Linked DNA regions of Cricetulus griseus. The main gene of each other region encodes a partner of the protein of the gene in region 5 in a complex. Links are inferred from orthologs where the notes say so. Each region holds a gene or a part of one and is shown on either strand. Other genes may lie near its edges. The genes, in order: Cnot7, Cnot8, Cnot9, Cnot11, CCR4-NOT transcription complex subunit 2 and Cnot10.

Region 1 (3,500 bases), on a different chromosome or scaffold from region 5:
TAACTAAAAATCGAAGTGAGTGCAGGTATTTCTTATTGTATGTACAATACTCTGAAGTATCTATTCAAATCTTCTCAAAGTATCGATTAATGTGACACATATACTGTAACCACAAATATCTTTCCATATTCCAAATCTTTGTTATCTACATGTGATAAATAATGACTTGCATTTACTCTCATGATGCTAATGGTAAAACCAGAAACAACACTGGCAAACCTAGAACCACCCTGACTTGGACCAGTATGAGAATTAAGCACAAAAAACATTTACAAGCAGAGACAACAGAGAGGACAGAAAGTTATAATAACATTGAACAACATTCCTCATTGTACTGTAGAGCCTAACACACTGACACATTCCTTCTAGGCATTCATCAAGGTCTATTTCACCATTCTTCAACACATCCAAGATGCTATCACGACATTTTCCACATCAGGCAGTTCCATTTTTATCTTCTCAATGGCTTTTGCTCTACTTAACATTTTTCACTTAGTCTTCTAAAACTTTTTAAACTTCACCTTTATCTATTTTGTGTGTGTGTGTGCCTATACATGTTCATCACAGACACATGTGAAGGTTAAAGCACAACTTTAGTCAGTCAGTTCTCTCCTACCATATCAGTTCGAGAATCATACTTAGGTCAACAAGCATGGTGGAGGGCATCTATGCACTGAGCCCTTTCATCAGCCTTTATACTCTATACTCTTTTCTCTACCATTTCTCATGGCATTATCATTAGTATAAATAGTAGCACACACTTGGCAGTGAAACTACTTGTGTGAATAAGGAAAAACAAAACATGCTCAGACACTAACTAAAATGAAAGCCACTGCTATAAAAACTACTATCTAGCAAAAACTACCAATTTTACCATCCAACACACTGATGTATTAAGTACTGCTCCAAACCAAGTATCTTATTTTAAATAAACAAACAAAACTAAAAAAAAAAAAACAACAACAAAAAAACTAAATCAATGCTCTAATGTTTAGTTTGGGGGGAAAAAAGAACTTTAAAGAAATAAAAATGACAAAAAACTAAAGAAAAGAATCTTCATTTGAGAAAAGGATGGAAGGCAATTTTCAGTTTGCTCTAGATTTGTAGTATTAAAGAAACATTATAACATTACAGTGGAGATGAGCACTTTTAGCCTGTATAGAGTCTACAGAGACTAATGTCACTATAGTACTAGACATTAAAATACTGTCAGTATTATTTATAGTTAGCACAATGCATTTAAAAGACACACAGCTGTACCACTGACACTAACACCACTAAAACCATCAGTCCTGCTTGCTATTCATTAGGTCTTACACATTAAATAGTGCATATTAATCAAGGAATTCTTACAATTAACTAGCATTAATTTTCTTCTCGTTTCTGTTGCTATGTTTCCAACGAGACTCTGCTATTATACAAATACAGGCTACCAAACAGAAAGGCACTAAAATATTGTTACATAGTGCAGAATATACTGTATGTTTTATTTCCTTACCTTAATAGAAATAATACGCCCCTGTCCCCTATTGGGAACTTATAATCTGAAGTTCAGAAGTCACATAAGCTCCATGAGTTATCAATGTAGCCCAACACAAAAGTGTAAACTTTTTAAAAATTTTGTTATTTTTGTTTTCATTGCTAAAATCTCAACTGCATGGTTCTTGAGTATGACCTTTGCAAATAAAAACATGTGTCATAATGTCAAAAGGATGGACTCTACTTCATGAAGTTCCCTCAGCTACCAAGACTACAATAAATAATGTAGAACTATTTAAATGAAGGCAACAGACTTTAGACCCAAGATTTGAATTACATATCAGAGTCTGGTATATGAAAAGTTTAAGAATACTATTACATTTTCTGTATGAAGATCAAGAGGTTTCATGGGTTACATGGGAGCAGTCATTAAAGAACAGAGTTTGAAAAGAAAACATAACTAACTTTCCAAGAAACAATTTATTGCATATGGTAAGTAAGTATCTACTTAAGATGCAAAGTATGAGAGTAATAAAATAAAAAATCTCTTCACAGGAACAGTGACTATTTCAACAAAATCTTAACAAATCTACAGTGGGATGGGGTTGTAGCTGAATGGTACCTGCTTGATTGGGAGCAGCAAATGTGCCTCCCCACTTTTGAATTTCATATTGGGTACAAAAAAGTCAAAGTTTTAGGTGTAGTAACACACACCTTTAATCCTAGCATTTGGGAAGCAGAAGCAGATGGATCTCTGGGAGTTTGAGGCCAGCATGGTCTACGTAGAGACCTGGGCTATGTAGTAAGACCCTGTCTCAAAAGAGCCAAACAACAACAAAATGTAATAGTAAAATCAATATCCTAAGATTCATGTTTTAGGACCCAGGTTTAATCTGCAGCACCTTAAATAACAGCAAACAACAACAAAAATACAATTTTACAACTTTCTGGAAAAGCAGCAGTCACAGTTTAGAAATAACATCTCTATCACTGAATGGTATTTGAAATTAGAAGCTTTTATTATCTCAATCCCTTTTGCCTCATAATAATAAGCCTAAGCTTTTGAAACTCTAAATTTAATAAATTTCCGGGAAATTTATTCAGTTAGAATTTCACTACATTTAAACCCAATTCCTAAAATTAAACTAGAAACAAAAAGTTGGGGTTATATATTTATTTCCCACTTACGTCAAATTAAATTTAAAATTAAACTGCCAAGTTGAAGTTCCTGGAGGGTATTCTCCTTGCTCATTCATAAATGTCAGTCCTAGCTGAATTATCTTTAACAAGTCTACATTACATCGCAATAGTTGGTATTGATAGTCAGCATTGCTCCTGAATTCTCCAATGGGCCTTGCAACAACACCTGGAAACTCAGTGTCCTGAAAAATAATTTTAAGATTCATTATTTACTAAATGGGCATAAATAGGATCCATAAACTCTCAAGATAATTTCAGATATAATTCAGAGAATTCTATTACAATGATATTCTGTATGTTCATACTCAATTAGGTACTCTTCAAGTATGAAGAATATTATTTATTTTTTTTTCCAGACAGGGTTTCTTTGTAGCTTTGGAGCCCGTCCTGGCACTCCCTTTGTAGACCAGGCTGGCCTCGGACTCACTACTTTTTCTTATTAAAATTTATCAATAAATTATTACCCTGTACAGATAACTCATGATAAACTCAAGCAAACATTTGCTTCGTATCCAAGGAAAAGAAAACCCACAGAAATCATGTCAAGATTCCCACTCCCTCTTACAGGCTGTTATTATTTCTGTACTGCAATTCCTTATCATCCAAGAAATAAATGACAACTAGGAATTTTTTGCTGCCTATAAAGTAACCCTCTCTGCCCAAACAGAAAGTTTCAGCCCCAATTATGGATAAGTTATACCTCTAATACATGGAATGTCTATGTATAGATATTCCTATTTTAAGCAAGCACCCTCAGAGAAGCACTTTTTTAAAAACTTGTGATACTAAGAAAATTATGTTTTAGTTTAGCAGGAGAATTC
Region 2 (4,173 bases), on a different chromosome or scaffold from region 5:
CCAAGGCATCGTTACTGAGAGCCACTCTGCTGCCTTCACCACAGTCCTCACAGGTATGTCAAGTGCAAACCTGCCAGCCAAAGTTCTAGATCTTCAGGTACAGTGGTGCAGACCTACACTCCTTGCTATTCAGAAGGACGGCTTAGAGGTCAGGGCCAGCTTATGTAACTTAAGACCCCCTAGAGGATTCTAGAGAATCCTCTAGAAGGGCCCCAATACTTGACTGACAGCTTTACCTTTTTTGTGAACAGAAAAGGCTGGGGGGGGGGGAAATCAATTAGGAAGTGTTAAGTTCAAATGCCCTACAGAATTCCACTGAGTAACCCACTGTGAGTAGCCAGGGAGAATACAATTAAAGCTACTCTACCGTCCGAAGGCCCAACAGCCAGCAGGGTATGAAGCTTCCTCAATGAGACCTTCCTTCCAAGGCTGACTGGTTCTGAGGTAAGCCAATCCCATCACAGATACCAGATCCTAGCTACCAAAGACCACACCTCATGCCAGTGGTTAAAAAGCAATCTTTATTTTACAAAATTAAAAACATAAATAATATTTACAAGCATCTTAAATATCAGCTTTAATAGTTGACATTTTGTAATCATTTCAAATTCAGTTTCCCACAAGCTTTTAAGATGTAAGACCACTCCTGCTTCAGGGAGCTGCTGCCGTCTGTCTCCGCCTTCCAAAGAAGTTTCTGCTTTCTCAAAATTGTACTTTCTGTAGTCATTTTTAAAAAGTGTGCTTCCAAAATGCCTAACCTTAAAAAAAAATCATCGGCTTCTGACAGCTGTGGGATGACTCTCAGAGGTCTGAGGTGAAGTCTCTTACTGCCCTGCTCACAAGTGACTCCTGTGACTTTCCTAGCATTCCGGAGCTCAGCTTTACCACCACTTGACATCTCCGGCTTGCTAAGTAAAAGCATGGGAATGGAAGCTAAGAGAACACAGCTGATTGAGATCACCCTGCTGAGAACAAAATGGACATGGAGCATGACCTAGTCGAGGGCAGTTCATCCGAAAACTAAGGTGACTTGAGGTGAGGCTCAGCTGCCAGCTTAATGCCACAAAAAGGAGACTCAGAACTTTCCAGGTTTCAGAACAGTCAGGACTGCTCTGTCCTGGAGAAGTTTGACAAAAGCAGGGCAGAGCCTGCTGTTGCGGACCTACTTCCCAAGAACATACACCATGTTCCCTGGCAGCCTCAGCTCATCTGAGAATCTTCATCAGAGCAGCAAAGCCAAAAGAAAAAAGAATGACAACGTGTAAGAGTCATATACATTTTACTGGTTTGTTTCAGACATCCTGGAGGTTTAAAAAGGTGTCCATGAAGCCATGGATGCTGGTGGCAGGAGGCAGCAGAGGGACGTGGGCATGAGGAAAAGGAAGACTTGTTTACAAATTCAGAGCAAACCCCCTTCTTCTGGATCTAAAATAAAGGCATCTTTAAACAGAAACCCAAAGTCTCTGCTTAGAGCAGATGCAGGTCAATGGCTGGGGCGGATGGCACAGATGGCACGGTGCACGCGCTATCACTGCTGCATGTTGTTGATCATGGCCAGGATGCTCATCTTCTCCTGGGCAGAGTCCACATCCTCATTCTGCTTCTGAGCCACTCCCGTGCCCAGGCCATAGAGGCGCCCACAGTACTTGGCATCATCAATACTGTCCTCAAAGAATAGCTGCAGAACAGGACAGAATCAGCTGAGAATGGGGCCAGAAGTCATGCCACCTCCCAGCTTCTCAAGCCCTGACACTCAGCAGACTGGACACTAAATCAGCAATGACACCAAACATCTCTCACGAAGGCTTTTCCTGTTCCTTTCCCTACACTGGGGCTCTGCTTCCTCAACAGACTTGGCATTCCTATGATTTGTCACTGCTGGGGACCATGGGCTACTGCCAAGCAAAGCAGTGATTACGAACTCAGGCTTGCCAAGTTACTTCAACTCCATTCCATCTTGGTTCCTTATCCACAAAAAGGAAAGCTAGGTGAGGTGGCACACACATGTAATCCTAGCACCCGAGAAGCTAAGATGTGACTGAAAAGATCACGGACAATGAACACTCAACCTTAACATCACTGGGCAGAAGCTGCCCAGTCCAATCACAAGATGCTGAGCACAGCCCTGGTCAGAAGCACCATCTCTGCTAAGTATAACAAGAAACATTCCATGCCAGGCAGTGGTAGTATACGCCTTTAATCCCAGCACTCGGGAGACAGAGGCAGGCAGATCTCTGTGAGTTCAAGGCCAGCCTGGTCTGCAAGAGCTAGTTTCAGGAGAGCCTCCAAAGCCACAGAGAAGCCCTGTCTCAAAAAAACAAAAAACAAAAACAAAAACAAAAAAATAAATAAATAAATAAAAAAGAAAAAGAAAAAAGGAAACATCTCCAAGGCATCACCAAATGTGCCAGTTGGCAACCACTTTTACAATTGTTACAATTGTTACTATTTAGATCTAAAATGTTCCTAGAAGTCCTGTTGACAGCTTAGCACCAACTTGTAGGGTTACTAGGAAATGGTAAAAACTTGAGGAGGTGAAACTTAGTAGAGGGATGTGAAGTTGTCAGGGCCAGGCCCTGTACTCAGCCTCTTCCTCTGTTCCCAAGCCACCAGAAGAACAGGCCTTAGCACTCTGATGATCTAGCTTGCTGGAGCAGACAGAGCCAATCACTGGCTAAAATATCTCATGTTGTAAACCAAAATAAACTAGTCTTTTGAAGTTGATGGCTTCAGTTATTTTGTCAACGCCACAGAAAACTAGTTAAATAAAAACCTGAACTCATAATAATGGTAAAAGCACAAAAAAAAAAAAAAAAAAAAAAAAAAGAAATACTAACTAGACATGGCAGCTCACAGCCGTAATCCCAGATTTTAGGAGGCTGAGGCAAGGAGATAGTCATGGGTTCAAGGACAGGCATATGCCTTTAATCCCAACATTCAAGAGCAGAACAAGTATATCTCATATACATAAGAGTTTAAAGCCAACAGGGCTACACAGACACAAGAAAAAAACAAGAAAAATGTCAACAAAATTGTAATTTTCTTTTTTCCTTGAGGTGGGGTTTCTCTAGATAGCCCTGACTGTACTTGAACTCATGAGACCCACCTGTCTCTGCCTCCCAAGTGCTGGCTGGGGCTAAAGGTATGCACCACCACTGCCCAGCTTTCATGGTAATTTTTCAAAGCATATTCTTCCTCTTTAAACATTTTAGAACTTAAAAGAGTAGGTAAATACACTAGAAGAGAAATTCACTCTTCATTAGAGAAATAATCCTTGGCCCAAGTGGGTAGACTAACAGCATTCCTACAGTAGAAAGCAGAAGGAAATAAAGGGGAAGCTGCCTGGAAACGAAGAGCCCTCACACTGACACATTACCTCTTTCATCCTGAAGAAAGCCATCCCCGTCAACAAGGAGTCTGAGCCTGCTTGATGCTGCCTTCCAATTCTCTGCAAATCCAACTGGTCAGCCACCTCCTGAAGACCTCCCTAGAGGACAGAAAACAAGAGATGTCACATACCAACACTATTCTGAACTCAAGTAAGACTACTCATGAGTCCATTTAGCAGTGGGCCATTCATCTAACAAGCCTCAGTAGGTAGACATTTTTCAGATTTTCACTCTCCTTCCCAAACAATACACTATGTGCTTGCAGAGATGAGAAGACAACTTTCCCAAGTCAGTTCTCTCCTACCACAAGGGTTACAGAGATCAAACTCAGGTCCATCAAGTTTGGCAGCAGGCACCTTCACCCACTCAGCCATCTCACAGGTCCAACTTCTTGAACTTTTTGTTTTGTTTTTCAGAAACACGGTTTCTCTGTGTAGCCCTGGCTGTCCTATAGAACTCACTCTGTGGACCAGGCTGGCCTCAAATTCACAGAGATCTGCCTGCCTCTGCCTTCCAGGTGCTGGGATTAAAGGCATGCAATACCACCATCGGGCCTTCTTAAACTTTTAAAGTTTAAAAAAAAAAAAAAAAAAACCTTGGAGAATGTGGGACAGTGCAGGACTGTCATAACATACTGCACATGACTTCATGTCACCAACTGCTTTGTGAGGTTCTCAGGCAGCCAGCCTCAAGATACAAGAAATAGGGCTCTTTTGATGCTCAAGTTCCAACAAAGACAGTTACAGAGGAAGCCCTGAGCCACTCAGCTTTATCGATACCCTCT
Region 3 (3,929 bases), on a different chromosome or scaffold from region 5:
TAGGCAATGTCATGCATAGGCATGTCCCAAATTTAACATGGCAAGTGACTCACATAACATACAAACACACATGTATTTATTTGTATGTCTGGCCCAGAACCTTCCTCTTACCTTTAACCCAATAAACCCAAATTGCTCCTTAATATTCTCTTTCAGCTGGACTCATAAGGGACTGTAGCTCGCCAAAATACACCCGAAAACCATTACAGCACAACTCTCCAAAGACAGGGAACTTGATTTAAAATTGGTAAATTGGACATCGCCGGTGTTGGCTAGATACTGGAGGCAACCAAATAAATGCACGACAAGCATTCCACTCCCTGACTTTCAATGAACAGTTTTTAAGAGGAGGAGGGAAGTAACGAAGGGCCCAGAGGGCGAATGAGTATCACACATCCAAGGTCTGGTGTGTGGCCACGGGAAGTCACCTGTAAAGACAGCAGGCCTTGTTAGGAGGCAAGCCGAGACCACCGCAGCCCTGCTCAACAGGAGCCGGGCTTAGAACGCGGAAAGCGAGTGGCAATACGGACCGTGTTGAAGGAGAGGGAAAGTGGAGGGGAGACACTCCAATGGGCGCACCTGTAAGGGACCCGGGGAGCGTCCAGGGACCCGGGGCGGGCTGAGCAGCAGCCGGGCGAACTCCGGAGTGGGCGGACCGCCGGCTGTGGGGGGGGGGGGGTGAGGCTGGGGAAAACGGCTCAATTCACAGGCTGTCCCGGCCCGCCTTACCTGTGCCGGAGGGTCCCAGCCTAGGACGGGCCAGCCAGAAGCACAGGGTTTCCGCAGAGGGGGAGGAGCCGAGGGGCTCGGAAGGAAGGGGGCTCCCCTGGACCCAGAAAGGGAGGCCGTGCTCTCCTCTACACTCCTAAACCCGCTGATGGCGGGAACTGTGACTATACGCAAACACGTACGCACGCACGCACTCCCGACGCAGCCAGTCCGGGCGCGTGCGCGTCAGCGCTCAAGCCCCGCCCCCGAGCCCTCGGCCCGCCCCTCCCCGAGCCCTGCCCCTCACCCGGGCGGCCCGGCCCCTGCCGTGACGGAACCGTAGGACACATGCGCACTCTCCATTTTACCGACTTCGGACCTCCCACCATTTTCCCTTCGCTCGGCTCAGCCCGGTGGAGCATGCGCAGTTCGCGTCCTTCCATACCGCCGGCCTTTTCCCGCCCTTCTCTGGCCTTAGGAGGGAAGTCAGGGTCCGCGCTCCTCTGGGGATATACCTGCGATGCCGGGGGGTTACTAGGACCCGTAGGTTGCAGACGTCGTTCTGATCCTGACTCTCGAGTGTCAAAGGGCGTACATACTCTGGGACTATTAGCTAGGCCGAGGGCCAGGAGGCGGGAAGGGGCTGTGTGGGTGGAGGGTCAGAGGTGAGAGGTCAGAGGGCTGCCAAGGGGGAGGAGCGAGCCGGAGGCGGATGGCGGCTCTTCATCTCCGGCTGCACAGCCGCTGAAGCTGGGACGCGGGTCCGGCGCGTCGGGCGGGAGGAGGAGAGCGGCGGCCGCTCCCAACATGCACAGCCTGGCGACGGCGGCGGTGAGTGGCTGCGCCCGGATGCCCGTCTCAGCCCGCTTCCTAGTTCCCGGAGCCGGGCCCCGAGTCCAGCTGCTTCTGCCCCTGGCCGCGAGGTCCGGGAGTCTCCACACGGCGCCCTGGCCGTGGCGGAGTCCGACCCTCCCAGCTATCCCTGCCGCCGCGTCCGTCTCTTCTCCTGGCCCCTTGCGCGCGGCCTCTCGCGTTCTTTTCCGGCGCCGCGGCCTGGTCCCCGCGCGGCCTCGGCAGGCCATTCATTGATTCACGTGAGCCCGGCGTCAGTTTCTGGGGGCCACGGTCGAGTGCCGGGCCTCGGCGGGGATAAGAATATCATTCCATGGCCATTCGCTCTGGGCCCCGGCTCCGGGAACACGTCGCCTAGGCACAATCTCAGTGGGAAGGACACGGCTTCTAGCTCAAAAGCCGGAGCCCCGGAGTTCAGGATGATTCCTTCTGGCTTACGGTCCTCTGCGTTTAAAGCCTTCCTCGCACATCTCGTTTTATCTTTTAACAAGAAAAGCTAGTCGCCGTATTACACCTCCCTGAAGTCATCCTGTGGCTTTTGGTTACTTTTAGAGAAAGTAGATGCTTTGGCCTACAAGCCCCGTATGATGTGGTCCTTAGTCACGTTTTAATGGGCTCCGTTTTTGTCACTTGCTCCTTAAGCTCCGACCAAAAGTGCATGCACTTTTCCACTGAATGACACAGTCTCTAGTTTCTTTGCCTGGAATTGTCCTTCTTAGGACTGCCTCCATACATACAAGTCTGTCCCCAGAGTGACTTTCTGACCATGTTCACAGTAGCTTCTAACCCCAACATTTACTCTTGTATTGATTTTCCAGTGTGTAATTACTGGATTATTTAACTTGTGGGATGTCTGTCTCCCTCTCGGGGTCAGGGACAGGATTGTGTGTGTGTGTGTGAATTCTGTTTACTTGGTTTTCCCACTGCTAGAACAGTTCCTACAAGGTAAGCACTATGCACTCTGACAACCGTATGGAAAGAGGGATAATTTAAGAACACTTACAAGCCTGGTAATGGCGCATGCTTTAAATCCCAGCACTTGGAAGGCAGAGGCAGGTGAATCTCTGTGTTTGAGGCCAGCTTGTTTCACAGAACAAATAGAGGGCTGCCAAGGCAAAACGGAAAAAAAAAAGTTCTCAGTATGTATTTCTTCAATTATATTTGCAGTGCTGTACATAGATTAAAAAACTTGAACATTTGTTATGCTGTTTGACCCACGTGGCGGCTCTGACAAGTTCTTTTGTACCACTCATCTGGTAGGATATTTAGTGAGGATACTGAAGAATAAAAATTTGAGGCAGCGGGCGTTGGTGCCGCATGCCTTTAATCCCAGCACTCGGGAGGCAGAGGCAGGAGGATCTCTGTGAGTTCGAGGCCAGCCTGGTCTACAGATCAAGTTTCAAGATAACCTCCAAAGCAATACGGAGAAACTCTGTCTCGAGGGGAAAAAAAATTGAGGCAGTTCCTTCATAATCCCGTATTCCCATAAGCATCCAAACTCCTTATGTTATTTTGATCTGAGCAAGAAAAACAAAATTATGATGTACTAGGATCACATGCAGCAATACCCACAAAAACCTAAATCTTTTGAGAAGGCGCTTGGTTTTTGTTTAATAATGAAAACTAGTGTGTATGTGTTCATATTGTGGGTGTGCATGTGTGGAGGTCAGAGTCAGTTTGGGGGTTGTTCCTCTTTACTATATATAGCTAGGGAGATAGGAAGTACTATTAAAGGGCAATGAATGCAGGTGTTATTTACTAGAGAAACAGTAGCAAAAGACACTGAGGTAGTGTGCTCTTGTCATTATGGAATATATTCTAATATCTGTTATCAAAAAAAGTGTTTTGTTTTTTTTCCTATCGTGGGCAGAAAACAATGAAGGGCTATTTACAAAATTAGTAAGTGTAAGGGCATAAACGGACATGGCTAAGCAGGTGAGAGGTCAAATCCCAGCACTCACATAAAAAGTCAGCTGTGACTCCCATGTGTGCAACCCCAGACAGCTCTGGGGTTAGAGAATCAATAATCACTAGGGGTTGCTAACTACTAGCCTCGCCTGGAAGGAATATGGCCAGGAATGATTGAGGAGCTCTCTGTGCACACATATATATACCACACACATGCTCATACCATGTAAAAAAGTAGAATGCTACTGATGTTTAAAAAAAAAAAAAAAAGATGAGATGCTTGCCTCCAAGCCTGGTGACCTGAGTTTGTTGACAGAACCCACTGGTGGGAAAAGAGAAATAACTCCCACAGGTCATTCTCTTAACTTTCACACATGCACCATGGCACATACACGTACTCAGTAAGTAAATGAGGAAAAGAAAACCCCCAAAACTAAATAGTTGGTCTTTGGCTAGGTTCT
Region 4 (4,046 bases), on a different chromosome or scaffold from region 5:
GGGAGGGATCATTTGGAGTGCAGTGAAGTTAAAAACAACAACAACAACAAAACTTAGAACTTTTGGTTGCCCCTCCCCTGTGTGTCTGTGTGTGTGTGTGGGGGGGGGGGTGATCCTCTCTACGAATAGGCTGCATTTTCCTAGCTGGTGAGCTCCCGCACAGCTGCAACAGCTGGCGGCGCCCGCACAGCTGGCTGAGGGAGGTACCTGAGAGCGGGGGCCGGTCGGGCTCCTGTCCGCCGCGGGCGGGCGGCGCCGGGTTGAGCAGGTGCGCGAAGCTGGCGGCGAACGGGTTGGCGGCGAGCGGCTCGGTGCGGTACATCTCCCACAGCAGGTAGAGGGCCGTCAGACGCTGCGCCGCGCTGGGCAGCAGGTCCGGCTGCTGCAGCAGCATCACCAAGACCGAGCCCAGGCGGAAGTGGTCGGCCTTGCTGAAGTAGTGGTGGAAGGCGGTGGACAGGCCCTCGAAAGTGCTGCCGCCGCCCGCCTCCTCAGAGATGATGTTAAGCAGGCTCGAGAGTTCCTTCGGGCTCAGGCTCATCCTGCCCGCGGGGCCCCCGGGGCCTCCACTCCCTGGCCCGGGGCCACCTGCTCCGCCTCGGCCTCCGCTCGAGCCCGCTGGACCGCTCCGGAACGCCGCCGCCGCCTCCCGCGCTCCTCTTTGATCCGCTGCGGAGAGAAGCCGGCCAGACGCCGTGCTCGCCCCGCCGCCGGGCATCAACTTCGCCCGCCCGCTCGCTCGCCCTCCCTGCTTCCCGGCTCCAAGGCCCTGGCACCGGCTGGCTGCTTCCCCCGCGGCCGTAAAGCGCACCGTTACACGACAGCGTCGCAAACAAAACAGCGCGGAAGTCAAGACGATCGGAACCGAGAAACAGTGCAGATCGATAGAGCCAGGCCGAGCCCAGGTTCCGGAGACGCGAGGTGGGCGGGGCGCCACGTCCGGAAGTGGGAGGGGCGCTCTGGAGGGCGGGCCCGTAGACGGAGATGGGTTCGTCTAGTCTTGCCTTGCTTGTACTGTGTAAGGTAGGGTGGGCGAGGGTGTGGTTAAAGCCAGCGAAGGCTATCTCTGGGTGGTGGGTGGTGCCAAACCGGCCCAGTAAATGTTGCCTAAGTTGTGATTTGAAAAACGGGCCTTAAATGCTTAACTGGCTTCATAGGACAGTCTTGATGGTTCGTGGTGAAATTATATGCAAATAAAAAACAGGTTTCTCATAACCAGTTTAAATCTCAAGGCTTCCTCATATTCTCAGAGATGGGATCGTATTGCACATAAGTGTTTGTGCATGGCTAGGTAAACAAAAATCTGGCACTAGGGACCTGGCACTAGGGAAGCAGAAGCATGCACATCTCTGTGAGTTCGAGGCTAGGCTGGTCTACATGGTGAGTTTCGGAATAGCCAGAATTACATAGAAAAACGATGTCTCAAAAACAAACAAACAAATAAATAAATAAATAAATAAATAAATAGAAGGAAACAAAAATCTGTGAAAGAGTATCAAGAAATACTCGTTTACTCAAGAAATACTGATCTACAGAGCAAGTTCTAGGACAGGCTCCAAAGCTACAGAGAAACCCTGTCTCAACAAACAAAAACAAAAAAAGAAAGGTTAAAAAGCCCCAAGAAAAAACATAGATGAGGAGAAACAGGTTAATTTAAGTTAAAAGAAAAAAAGAAAACAGCTAGCCAGAAGTTAGCATAAGCTAAGGCCAAAGCATTCACAACTAATACTAAGTCTCCCCTGTGTCATGATTTAGGAGCTGGTTGGTGGCCCGAAAGAAAAAGCCTAGTATGTTTGCTCCTGTGGGGAGCCCATCCTCGTGCTCCTGTAAGCAGCCACCCCAGTTGCACTCATTGGCTCACCCAGCTACACTTGAGGTCTGGTTTTGGTGCAATACCTAGAGTAAATAGATAAACAGGGACATAAAAGAACCAAAGATGCATCTGAAAGGAGAATTTGTGTTTTCTCTGCTGTGGGTGATGAGATCTACCACTGAGCTGAGCCCTCTGAGGGTGAGCAAACACCAAGCAATCCCAGTGAGGCTTTTCCTCTGTGGTATGGACTGGCCTGCTTTGTTGCTGCAGTAACAATTGCATTAACCCTACTGTTTCATTTTCATGCCCTACATTTCATCCTACTGTGGCTGAAAAGATAGAAGAAAGGCTGCTCCAAGGCAGGATGGAGTGTCCATGAGGAGGATCCCATAATGGCCGTCTTCTTCTATGCAGTACAGAGCGGGATGCCTCCTTAATGAATGGGGATGCCCCATATTGTCCCATATGACTTACAGACCAAAGGATAGATTGTAATCCCCAAATGCAGCGGGTGTAGGACAGGGTTGTAAGCACGATGTGGTATCAGTTGCATGGCCCTTGTTTTGATATAAGACATGCAACTGGAGGCTATGTCATCTGCCCAGGTAAGGGAGAAATTACAATGAGAAGAACAATTATGGTGCTGTCCTTCACATTAGCCTCTAAGCTGACAGGAGAAGTCAAGGAACCGAAAAAGAAGAAGGAGATGGAGGCACTGGATTGTTGTTTCTTATTGCTGGGGATGGAGAACACTAGAGGAAAGAAAATACAAAATAAATCTGTACGAAACAGGCCCTCTTGGGATCCAAAACTTTGGAATCTGTGAGAAGAATCAGACAGTAGGAGAAAGTGAGGTGATGTGATAAGAGAGAGCCCTCGGGTCTAACCTTTATTGCGGAGAAGGGAAATCCATGGCACGTGTGGGTGGAGCCTTGGTGTCAGCCCAGTACAGGAAACTATGGTGGTCAGGGAGTAGTCTGCCTTTGAACTCTTTAAATGAAAAAAAAAACAAATAAGAAAAAAATTTAAATAAGACATGAAGGCAAATGAAAAAAGGAAATGAAAAAAGGAGGACACAGTAGGGTGGAAGAGAAGGTTTATTGTAGCTATGTCAGAGAGCATACCAGAGACAGAGACATCTGGGAGAGTCCAGAATGGACATGACCAGCAGACAGAGCTGTCCCATGTGAGGAGAGATGGAGAGGCAAAGCAGGAGATCTGGAGCCTAGCAGCCAGGAGGCAAAGGGGCCAGCCTAGTCAAAATAGCTGGATTATACAGGGAAGAGCCTCTGAGGGAAGGGCGGCCCAGCCCCTGGGCTGGAGAGTTCAGGACAGGGGGACTGAGGGATTCGGGGAGAATCTAGCAGCCATATATATTTTGATATGTTCGATAGGCACGTCAGTTTACCATTCGTCCCAGGTCTGAGATCTAACAGAGGGTCAGCAAGATGGCTCAGCAGGTAAATAAAGGCACTTGTCATCAACCCTGATGTTTGATCTCCAGAACCATCGTGGTGGAAGGAGAGAACCCTCTCCCACATAGTATCCTCTGACTTACACACATGTACCATAGCACACGCTAAAAATAGAAATGAAAGCCTTTCACCCTGGCTTGTGAGACTTGGGATGTAGGCTCAGAAGGGATGGATCTGAGTGCTGTGAGAGCTAAGAAAGAGTATTATAGCTACCCAGCCTCCCAAAGACAAAGGCTGCATGATCTGAGACAACGGGAGAGAAACCAGTCCCTGGTGGACTGACCCTATGAGCCCTTAGGAACACTTCTTTAATACTAACTGAGGTCCCAAAGCATATCAGAGACTAGAGAATAATAGAAGAATATATATATATTATATATATATATATATATATATATATATGTGGGAGGGAACGTATCCTTGGCAAGTAATCAAGTTAGTTTTGTACTTGCTCTGTAGCACAGAATACTTTCCAATGCTCATCCTCCTGTCTCAGCTTCCCACCATGCCCAGCTCCATTTGGGGTCATTCCAAACCACACACCTCTAAGAATATCTGACATAGTAGTTCACTGTGAGTGTCTGAGGATATCCAAACGCATTACTGAATTGAGGGGGTTTCTAATCTGGGTGTCTAATGAGATGAAAGCTTGGCCATTCACGATCTCTTTTGTAGATATGAGGGCTGACGTCTCTGCCCTGTATAGAGGACTGGCCCAGCCAGGCCATGGGACATGTTCATGTCCAGCTTCAGTATTG
Region 5 (3,500 bases):
GGATTAGCTTACCTGTTCCATTAAAAATGTTACTTGATAAGGAGTTATTCATTCCAAATGCCTGATTCCTGTTCATTCCAAATCCAGACATACTGGGTACATAGAAAATAATTTTAGATATACAGTAAGAACACTAACTTAGAGATGAAGAAAAACAAAAGTATATACTTTTGGTCTCCTCATATAAAATAACAATATGTTTCAAAACCAATGCTAATTTAGAGTATAATCTTCACTTTTATTTAAAAACTTCTCTAAAATTCTTCAATGAACAAGAAAGAACCAAAGTTTAAATAAATTAATCTTAAAAACAAAAAAAGAATGTATTTATGAATGTTGAAGAACAGAGGTTAAGGGTACCATTAGCGCACCGCCCTCAGAATGCAGGTAGGTTTAAGATTACCCCACCCCGCTGCACCAAAACTTGCTTTTTCTTCCCTGACTGGTCAAGCTTGCTTTTCAGTGTTAAGTCTTCTCTTTACAACCTCTGTCTTTCCCAACTACTCGCTCCCATGAGTCCATGTCTTATTCACTCTGCATTTGACCTGAGTTAAACTGACCAGGTACTCAAAAAAAAAGAAAACTGAATTCAGTGTTCTAAAACATCATTTCAGATAGACAGATGATAGGTAGACAGGTAGACAGACAGACAGACAGACAGACAGACAAAGCGAGCTTAGTTTTCATCTACTTAACAGAAAAAAATCTTTCTATAGCACCCCTAATTTTGAATTAATGTACAACTCAATTTCTGCAAACAATTACATTTAACCCCCTTTTTCTTTTTTGTACAAACCTAATCAGGGCAAAACAAAAAAAGACAGAATCTAAATAAGTTTCTATAAAGAAACTATGCACCATCTCTATCACTCAGTAGTATTCTGATAGGTCAGCATGCCGGTGAACAGGGCCAAGCATTTGAAGGTAAAAGATGTAACCATTCTGTCTAAGTCTGTAGAACTAGCCATCTTTGAAAAGCTATGCAGCTAGCGAACCAACATTCCAGGGCACAGTAGTATAAATAAACTTTTTTTTTTTCCTATTACACTAGAGCTGCTGGTTGTATAGGTACCTCAAACATGGATTCAGAATTCAAATGAAACAATTTTATATATCAGCAGCACATAGAAGCAGGGATTAAAAGTTTTATTACAGTGACACTTTTTACAGAAAGTATTTTCTGAATAATTAAAATGTGAAAAATAAAAGCAAAACTTTAAATTTAAAAATATCTTCAATGAACAAGAATGCAGAAAGATACAATAAAGCCCAAGCAATAGTTAGGACGCTATAAAAATAAAAAGGTAAGAGCAGCAACAACATGCTGCAAATAATTTTTTAAAAACTTAGGTATGTAAAACCTGTATAGAATAATGGAGTTTATGGGATAAAGGTTGAACAGAAAGTGTGCTAAGCACTGATTTTAGTGTAGATTTGACAGTGGATAAAAGAAACTGATTGAGATGAAGGGGAGCAACAACTAAATGAAGGTCCTTTCACTGTATAGTTTTTCATAAAAATTAAGTATAAACAGAATATGACACACAACTCAAACTTACTATGTTGCTTTTGTAAGGAAGCCTTACATTTCAGATACAACTCTCTTGTTACCCAAACCACTTCAACATACTAGCAAAATGAATCATTGTTCTTATTTGTACAGTACATGCAGTGGATAGCACAAAATGAAAAAAAAAAAAAAACCATACACACCAGCTTTCTGTTTTGTTTTGTAACTCTAGACACAAAATTTAAGAGTACTGTTTTGAAATAGTATAATTGTGAAGTCTTTCCTTAGTAAGTACCCAAAGTATTTCAGCTCAGAAGGCATCTAAACAACGCATAACTCAAGCATGGCAGTAGCAATCAAGCATGCCTGCCTCCAGTCATGTTCATAAACCCACAACTCAAGTAGATAAACTTTACTTAATAACAAATGGAAGGATAAAACAGTAAAATTTTGCTTGGTGACAACCCAAGAACATTCCCTTTCTGGTACTACCATCAGCAACAGATTTAACATGCTTTTTGAAATAATAACATCTTTCAGAGGTTAAGGACTGTGATGGGCAATGATCTTAGCTCACACATACATGATAAACACACCTGTAGCACAGAAGCCACAACTCAGAAACAGAGGGCTGGATATGAAAAGGCAATATATGCAGTATCAATAAACATCTTACCTGTTCACAGTAAAAGGCTGTCGAGAAGGCTGCTGCTTTGGCATACATATTATGCTTGGCGAGCTTCTGTTGGGGCTACCTAACCCTGAACTGCTCATGCTATTTGTCCTGCTAGGAATTCCAATGCCCTGACCAACCTGGGAGTGGTTCATCATATTCCTAGGATTCATAGGCAAAATACCCCTGAAAAAGAAGTCCATTATACTAAATAAGCTCTCTACAATCACTCATTAAAATTCTCTATAAATAATCAGTTGCTCTAACCCCTAGAATTCCAAATATACATTTCAGTTGTATTCCTAATTTTATAGTGAAACTTTAAAAGGTGCTGTCATAGAGAACTACTGGGACAACTCTGATATAAAATATAAATGTTTTCCATATATATCTAAAATAATTTCATTCAAATTTCATTATCATTCTATTCTCTTGATATTAATAATACATATATGTTATCTGTTTTATTTTACTCTAATTAAGCAATAGATGTGTGGTGAGGGAGCAAACAAATCTGGGGAGTCATTTTTAATTGAACATCATTGAGGAAGAGATATATATATATATATATATATATATATATATAGCTTTTGTAAAAGCTCCCCAGGAGGTGATTAAACCTTGATCCATTCAGATGACAACTAGCACATAGCTTCAAGATCAAACACTACACTATACTTATCACTTTGCAATGAAACAAAATGAGCATAGGAACTGTTTTCTTAGTGCAAGGCACTGAACCAGAAAATCAAGTAACTAATTACTGTATTAAAAAATTAAAGCTCGGATTACTCTACAAAAATACAATCTGAAAATATTCTGGTCCATTAATAAATACCTGCTTGGAGATGGAGGCGTGTGAAGTGACATTGTTGGTACCCCTGTTGTTGGCGTGACGTGGCTCGGTAACTGAGTGCCTTGTGATAAGCTGCGATTTAACTGAGGGGTATTGTTGCTCATCCCCCTCATTGGAAGGCCTAGTGCACCTAATAAGAAAATTCAGAAGAAGGAAATTCATTGCCATCAGGAATGAAATTGGTATCCATCTTCTGGAGTTTGCAATCTAAAACATTTTAAAATGACCTAATAACTCACTGCAAATGGACTCTTGATTTTCAACAAAAGTTCTAGTCTAAAATTTAGTATTTTGAGTATCTTTTTGTATTTTTCATATTACTATGTTACAATAAACTATGTTAATGATTATAACAAATGAGATGTTACATAATACAAACTGTTGTCAAATTCATTAAGGGCATATTTGTGAAACTTGCACATACAAATATGCCTTTAAGAAATTCTGCAATTTCATGTGTT
Region 6 (3,500 bases), on a different chromosome or scaffold from region 5:
CAATAATTTTCACAAAAATAAATGTATCCAAATGACTTACACTGAACTTTATATTCTCTTAGCCACAGTACAGATTCATAGTATTTTGTGAACTGTTGGCAGAATTCAGAAAAGCACTGTCAATGCTTTCAGTGGGGACCAATTCTGACATAGCTTCATGGAGGGACTTAGTTCTTGTCACACAGTCCCTACCACTGCCTCTCTCCTGGCCAGTCTACCAGTCACCAAGCCATCAGGACTGAAAGAGACAGGCAACTTAAAACAGTTCCCTAGAGTCAGTTACCAGCTGCTCAATGAGTTGTCAAAGGGCTACATATCCTCTTCCCAAGTGTCACAGGGGCACAGGGACCACACTCCACCACCTGCTGTATAGGAACCACCAACAGACCAGTGTTCAGAGCCTCGGATGTCTCCTTCATGGTCTGATCTAACACAACGAGCAGACTCCTTGTGGACTGGTGCTCTCTAACCACATACCAGCCTGCTGCTCATCTGCTGGCTCCTCTCTTCTCCTCAGACTCCAACCTCCCCAATTCTTAAGGCCAGTATCAGAAATAAAACACAAACCTGTATTAGCTCTCTACATGCAGAAATTTCAGCAGGGCAACAGAGAAACGAAATACTACACTGTCCTCTAACACTCCAATGTTAAAATGGTCTTTTAAAACTTTGGGCTGGAGAGATGCACAGAGGTTAAAAGCACCGACTGCTCTTCCACAGGTCTGAGTTCAATTCCCAGCAACCACATGGTGGCTCACAACCATCCGTTATGAGATTTGGCGCTCTCTTCTGGTGTGCAGATATACATGGAAGCAGAATGTTGTATACATAATAAATAAATAAAATCCTTAAAAAAATCTTTAAAAAATGTTTACTTTATGCATATGAATGTTTTGCCTTTGTGTATGTATGTGTAAACCTAGTGCATGCTGAGGAAAAATGTAGGCCTGGGAACTAAACCCCGATTCTCTGCAAGAGCAGCAAGTGCTCCAAAACACCAAGCATCACTCCAGCCCTCCCCATCTTTTCTCAAGTGTGCCATGGTAAAAAGGCTCTAGTCATTAAGGGAGTATGCAATAGCAAAGAAAGGACAAACATCTTTCTACTCTCCAAAAGGTCATTCCTTCCCTTCCCTTCCTCCTCCTACCCTCCTTCCTTTTTGATAGGATCTCATGAAATCCAGGCTGTCCTCAAACCCAGTAAGTGTCAGAGGATGACCCTGAACAACTGGTCTACCGGATATTTTGGGCCCCTTTAAAACTCAGGTGAGGAGTGCTAAAGGAAACAGGACTTCTCTAAATGTCATAGAAGTTTATCTATTCTAAAATTAAATTTAGAAAGGCTTAAACAGCTTTATTTTGATCATTTTATATGTGTGTGCTCAGGTATGCAGTTGCATGTGTGCATGCATGTGTAGAAGACAAGAGGGATCTCTGGGTTGATCCTTAGTGACCGTTCGTTCTCTTTAGTTGTTTTACCTGCCTATATGTGCCTGAGGAGGCCAGAAGAGGGCTTCAGATTTTCTGAGAGTGACAGATGATTGTGAGCAGCTATGTGGGTGCTGCGAATTGAACTCATGTCCTAGGAGAACAGCCAGTGCTCTGAACTGTTGAGCCATCTCTCTAGACCTTGACTCTAGTTTTCTGAGACAGGTATCTCAATAGCCTAGCGCTTAAGCAGGCCGGGCCATCTAGCCAGCAAACTCAAGAGATCCACCTCTATCTGCCCCCAGCACTATATTACAAGCATATACTACCATGTTAGCTGTTTTTAGGTGGCTTCTAGGCATTGAACCCAGCCAGGTCCTTACATTTGCAAGGCAAGCATTCTGCTGACCGAGCTATTCCCATTAAACGCTGACATACAGCTTTAGTTTAGGTCATCTAGAAAAAAAAAAAAAAAAAAAAAAAAGCTAGAAAGGATGAATTTCTGGCCCGACAGATAACATACCAAAAGGTTCTATGAACTGATAGAGTTTTTCACCAACAGATATGGCCTCTGTATACTGCCGCAGATGATAAAGAATGACTGCTTGATTATAATACAACATGCTGTTTTCAACATCATCTAATCCATCCATTTCTTCAACAGCTGAGTGAACCTACAAAACAATCCAGGCAGAATGTGCTCTTAACAACAGTTAAGAAAACAACCTGCAAAAATGAAAGAATTCAGCCGGACGTATAGCACACCCCTGTAACCTCAGCACCTACAAAGCCCAGGCAGGAGAACTACTATTCTAAGTTCAAGGTCAGCCAAGGCAAAACAGTGAGTTCCAGGCCAATCTTTTGAGTAGCTGCGAGTGCAGATGTGTGCTACCATGCCCAGCTCCAACACTTCTTTTTCTTATTTTCCTACGTTTTAATAGTACCTTCACCAGGCTGGTGGCACACCCCCTAATCCCAACACTGAGAAGCAGGGACAGGCAGATCCCTGAGTTCAAGGCCAGCCTGGTCTACAGAGCAAGTTCCAGGACCGCCAGGGCTACACAGAGAAACCCTGTCTCTAAAACAAAATACAAAACAACAAAAAAAAGTACCTTCAGGTTTTCTTTTTTTTTTCTTTTTGGTTTTTGAGACAGGGTTTCTCTGTGGCTTTTGAGCCTATCCTGGAATTTGCTCTTGTAGACCAGACTGGTCTCGAACTCACAGAGATCCCCCTGCCTCTGCCTCCCAAGTGCTGGGATTAAAGGCGTGCACCACCCACGCCCGGCTTAGGTTTTCTTTTTAATTTAAAAAATGTATTTATTTGTATTTTATATATGAGTATTCTGCATACCAGAAGAGGGCACCAGATCTCATTATAGATGCTTGTGAGCCATCATGTCGTCACTGGGAGTTGAACTCAGGACCTCTGGAAGTTCTTAACCACTGAGCCATCTCTCCAGCCAAAGTAACTCTAGGTTTTAATTAGTCCCAAATACTAGAAATTATTTTTATCTGTTTCATTCACATTGAAATCCTATTAGACAAAACATTTTGAATCTCACTTACACAGCAAGTTCCAGGCCAGTCAAAGCTACACAGGGAGAATGCAGATATTTACCTTACAAATATGGGAGACCAGAATTGTAATTATGCTGTCCAAGACCAAGGGAGCATATCTAAGGACTTAGTCCCACAGTAAAAACGAACAGATGCTGTGAGCTGCCATGTGTGCTGGGTCTTCTCAAGAGCAGTAAGTGCTCTGAGTGCTAAGCCATCTCTCCTGCCTATCTTTCCATTTTTGAAAATAAAATAGCCCCAGATGACCTCAGACACACAGCAATCCTCCTGCCTCATCTTAACAAGTGTAGGGATTATATTGTATTTTATTATCATTGCTTTTTTTGTTTGTTTGGAACAGGGTCTCACTATACAGTGTTGGCTGTCCTTGAACTCAGAGTACTGCCTCCTGAGTGCTAGGGTTAAAGGCAGGCACATGCCTGGCTTGGCCTAGAAGACACTTTGTAAACCAGGCTGCCCTTAATCTCTTTATATTTCACAAGTCTCTAATTTACG

What was found.
Region 1: CCR4-NOT transcription complex subunit 2 (region 5) and Cnot7 share a complex: the UniProt entries of both Homo sapiens proteins name them as parts of the CCR4-NOT complex. The link is inferred for Cricetulus griseus from reciprocal best matches to the Homo sapiens genes CNOT2 and CNOT7.
Region 2: CCR4-NOT transcription complex subunit 2 (region 5) and Cnot8 share a complex: the UniProt entries of both Homo sapiens proteins name them as parts of the CCR4-NOT complex. The link is inferred for Cricetulus griseus from reciprocal best matches to the Homo sapiens genes CNOT2 and CNOT8.
Region 3: CCR4-NOT transcription complex subunit 2 (region 5) and Cnot9 share a complex: the UniProt entries of both Homo sapiens proteins name them as parts of the CCR4-NOT complex. The link is inferred for Cricetulus griseus from reciprocal best matches to the Homo sapiens genes CNOT2 and CNOT9.
Region 4: CCR4-NOT transcription complex subunit 2 (region 5) and Cnot11 share a complex: the UniProt entries of both Homo sapiens proteins name them as parts of the CCR4-NOT complex. The link is inferred for Cricetulus griseus from reciprocal best matches to the Homo sapiens genes CNOT2 and CNOT11.
Region 6: CCR4-NOT transcription complex subunit 2 (region 5) and Cnot10 share a complex: the UniProt entries of both Homo sapiens proteins name them as parts of the CCR4-NOT complex. The link is inferred for Cricetulus griseus from reciprocal best matches to the Homo sapiens genes CNOT2 and CNOT10.

What each region holds. Positions count from the first base shown.
Region 1 is NW_023276807.1:45,216,052-45,219,551, reverse strand, and holds part of Cnot7 (CCR4-NOT transcription complex subunit 7), read right to left. Parts: intron 2,862-3,500; coding exon 2,668-2,861; intron 1-2,667. UniProt on the Homo sapiens protein: Has 3'-5' poly(A) exoribonuclease activity for synthetic poly(A) RNA substrate. Its function seems to be partially redundant with that of CNOT8.
Region 2 is NC_048600.1:72,177,965-72,182,137, reverse strand, and holds the end of Cnot8 (CCR4-NOT transcription complex subunit 8), read right to left. Parts: intron 3,488-4,173; coding exon 3,377-3,487; intron 1,679-3,376; coding exon 1,529-1,678; 3' UTR 501-1,528; downstream 1-500. UniProt on the Homo sapiens protein: Has 3'-5' poly(A) exoribonuclease activity for synthetic poly(A) RNA substrate. Its function seems to be partially redundant with that of CNOT7.
Region 3 is NC_048595.1:427,755,938-427,759,866, forward strand, and holds the start of Cnot9 (CCR4-NOT transcription complex subunit 9), read left to right. Parts: upstream 1-1,129; 5' UTR 1,130-1,515; coding exon 1,516-1,539; intron 1,540-3,929. UniProt on the Homo sapiens protein: Component of the CCR4-NOT complex which is one of the major cellular mRNA deadenylases and is linked to various cellular processes including bulk mRNA degradation, miRNA-mediated repression, translational repression during translational initiation and general transcription regulation.
Region 4 is NW_023276807.1:8,702,280-8,706,325, forward strand, and holds the start of Cnot11 (CCR4-NOT transcription complex subunit 11), read right to left. Parts: upstream 2,801-4,046; 5' UTR 2,701-2,800; intron 1,015-2,700; 5' UTR 719-1,014; coding exon 208-718; intron 1-207. UniProt on the Homo sapiens protein: Component of the CCR4-NOT complex which is one of the major cellular mRNA deadenylases and is linked to various cellular processes including bulk mRNA degradation, miRNA-mediated repression, translational repression during translational initiation and general transcription regulation.
Region 5 is NW_023276806.1:139,743,795-139,747,294, reverse strand, and holds part of CCR4-NOT transcription complex subunit 2, read right to left. Parts: intron 3,170-3,500; coding exon 3,022-3,169; intron 2,370-3,021; coding exon 2,187-2,369; intron 93-2,186; coding exon 13-92; intron 1-12. UniProt on the Homo sapiens protein: Component of the CCR4-NOT complex which is one of the major cellular mRNA deadenylases and is linked to various cellular processes including bulk mRNA degradation, miRNA-mediated repression, translational repression during translational initiation and general transcription regulation.
Region 6 is NC_048597.1:221,687,502-221,691,001, forward strand, and holds part of Cnot10 (CCR4-NOT transcription complex subunit 10), read right to left. Parts: intron 2,102-3,500; coding exon 1,951-2,101; intron 1-1,950. UniProt on the Homo sapiens protein: Component of the CCR4-NOT complex which is one of the major cellular mRNA deadenylases and is linked to various cellular processes including bulk mRNA degradation, miRNA-mediated repression, translational repression during translational initiation and general transcription regulation.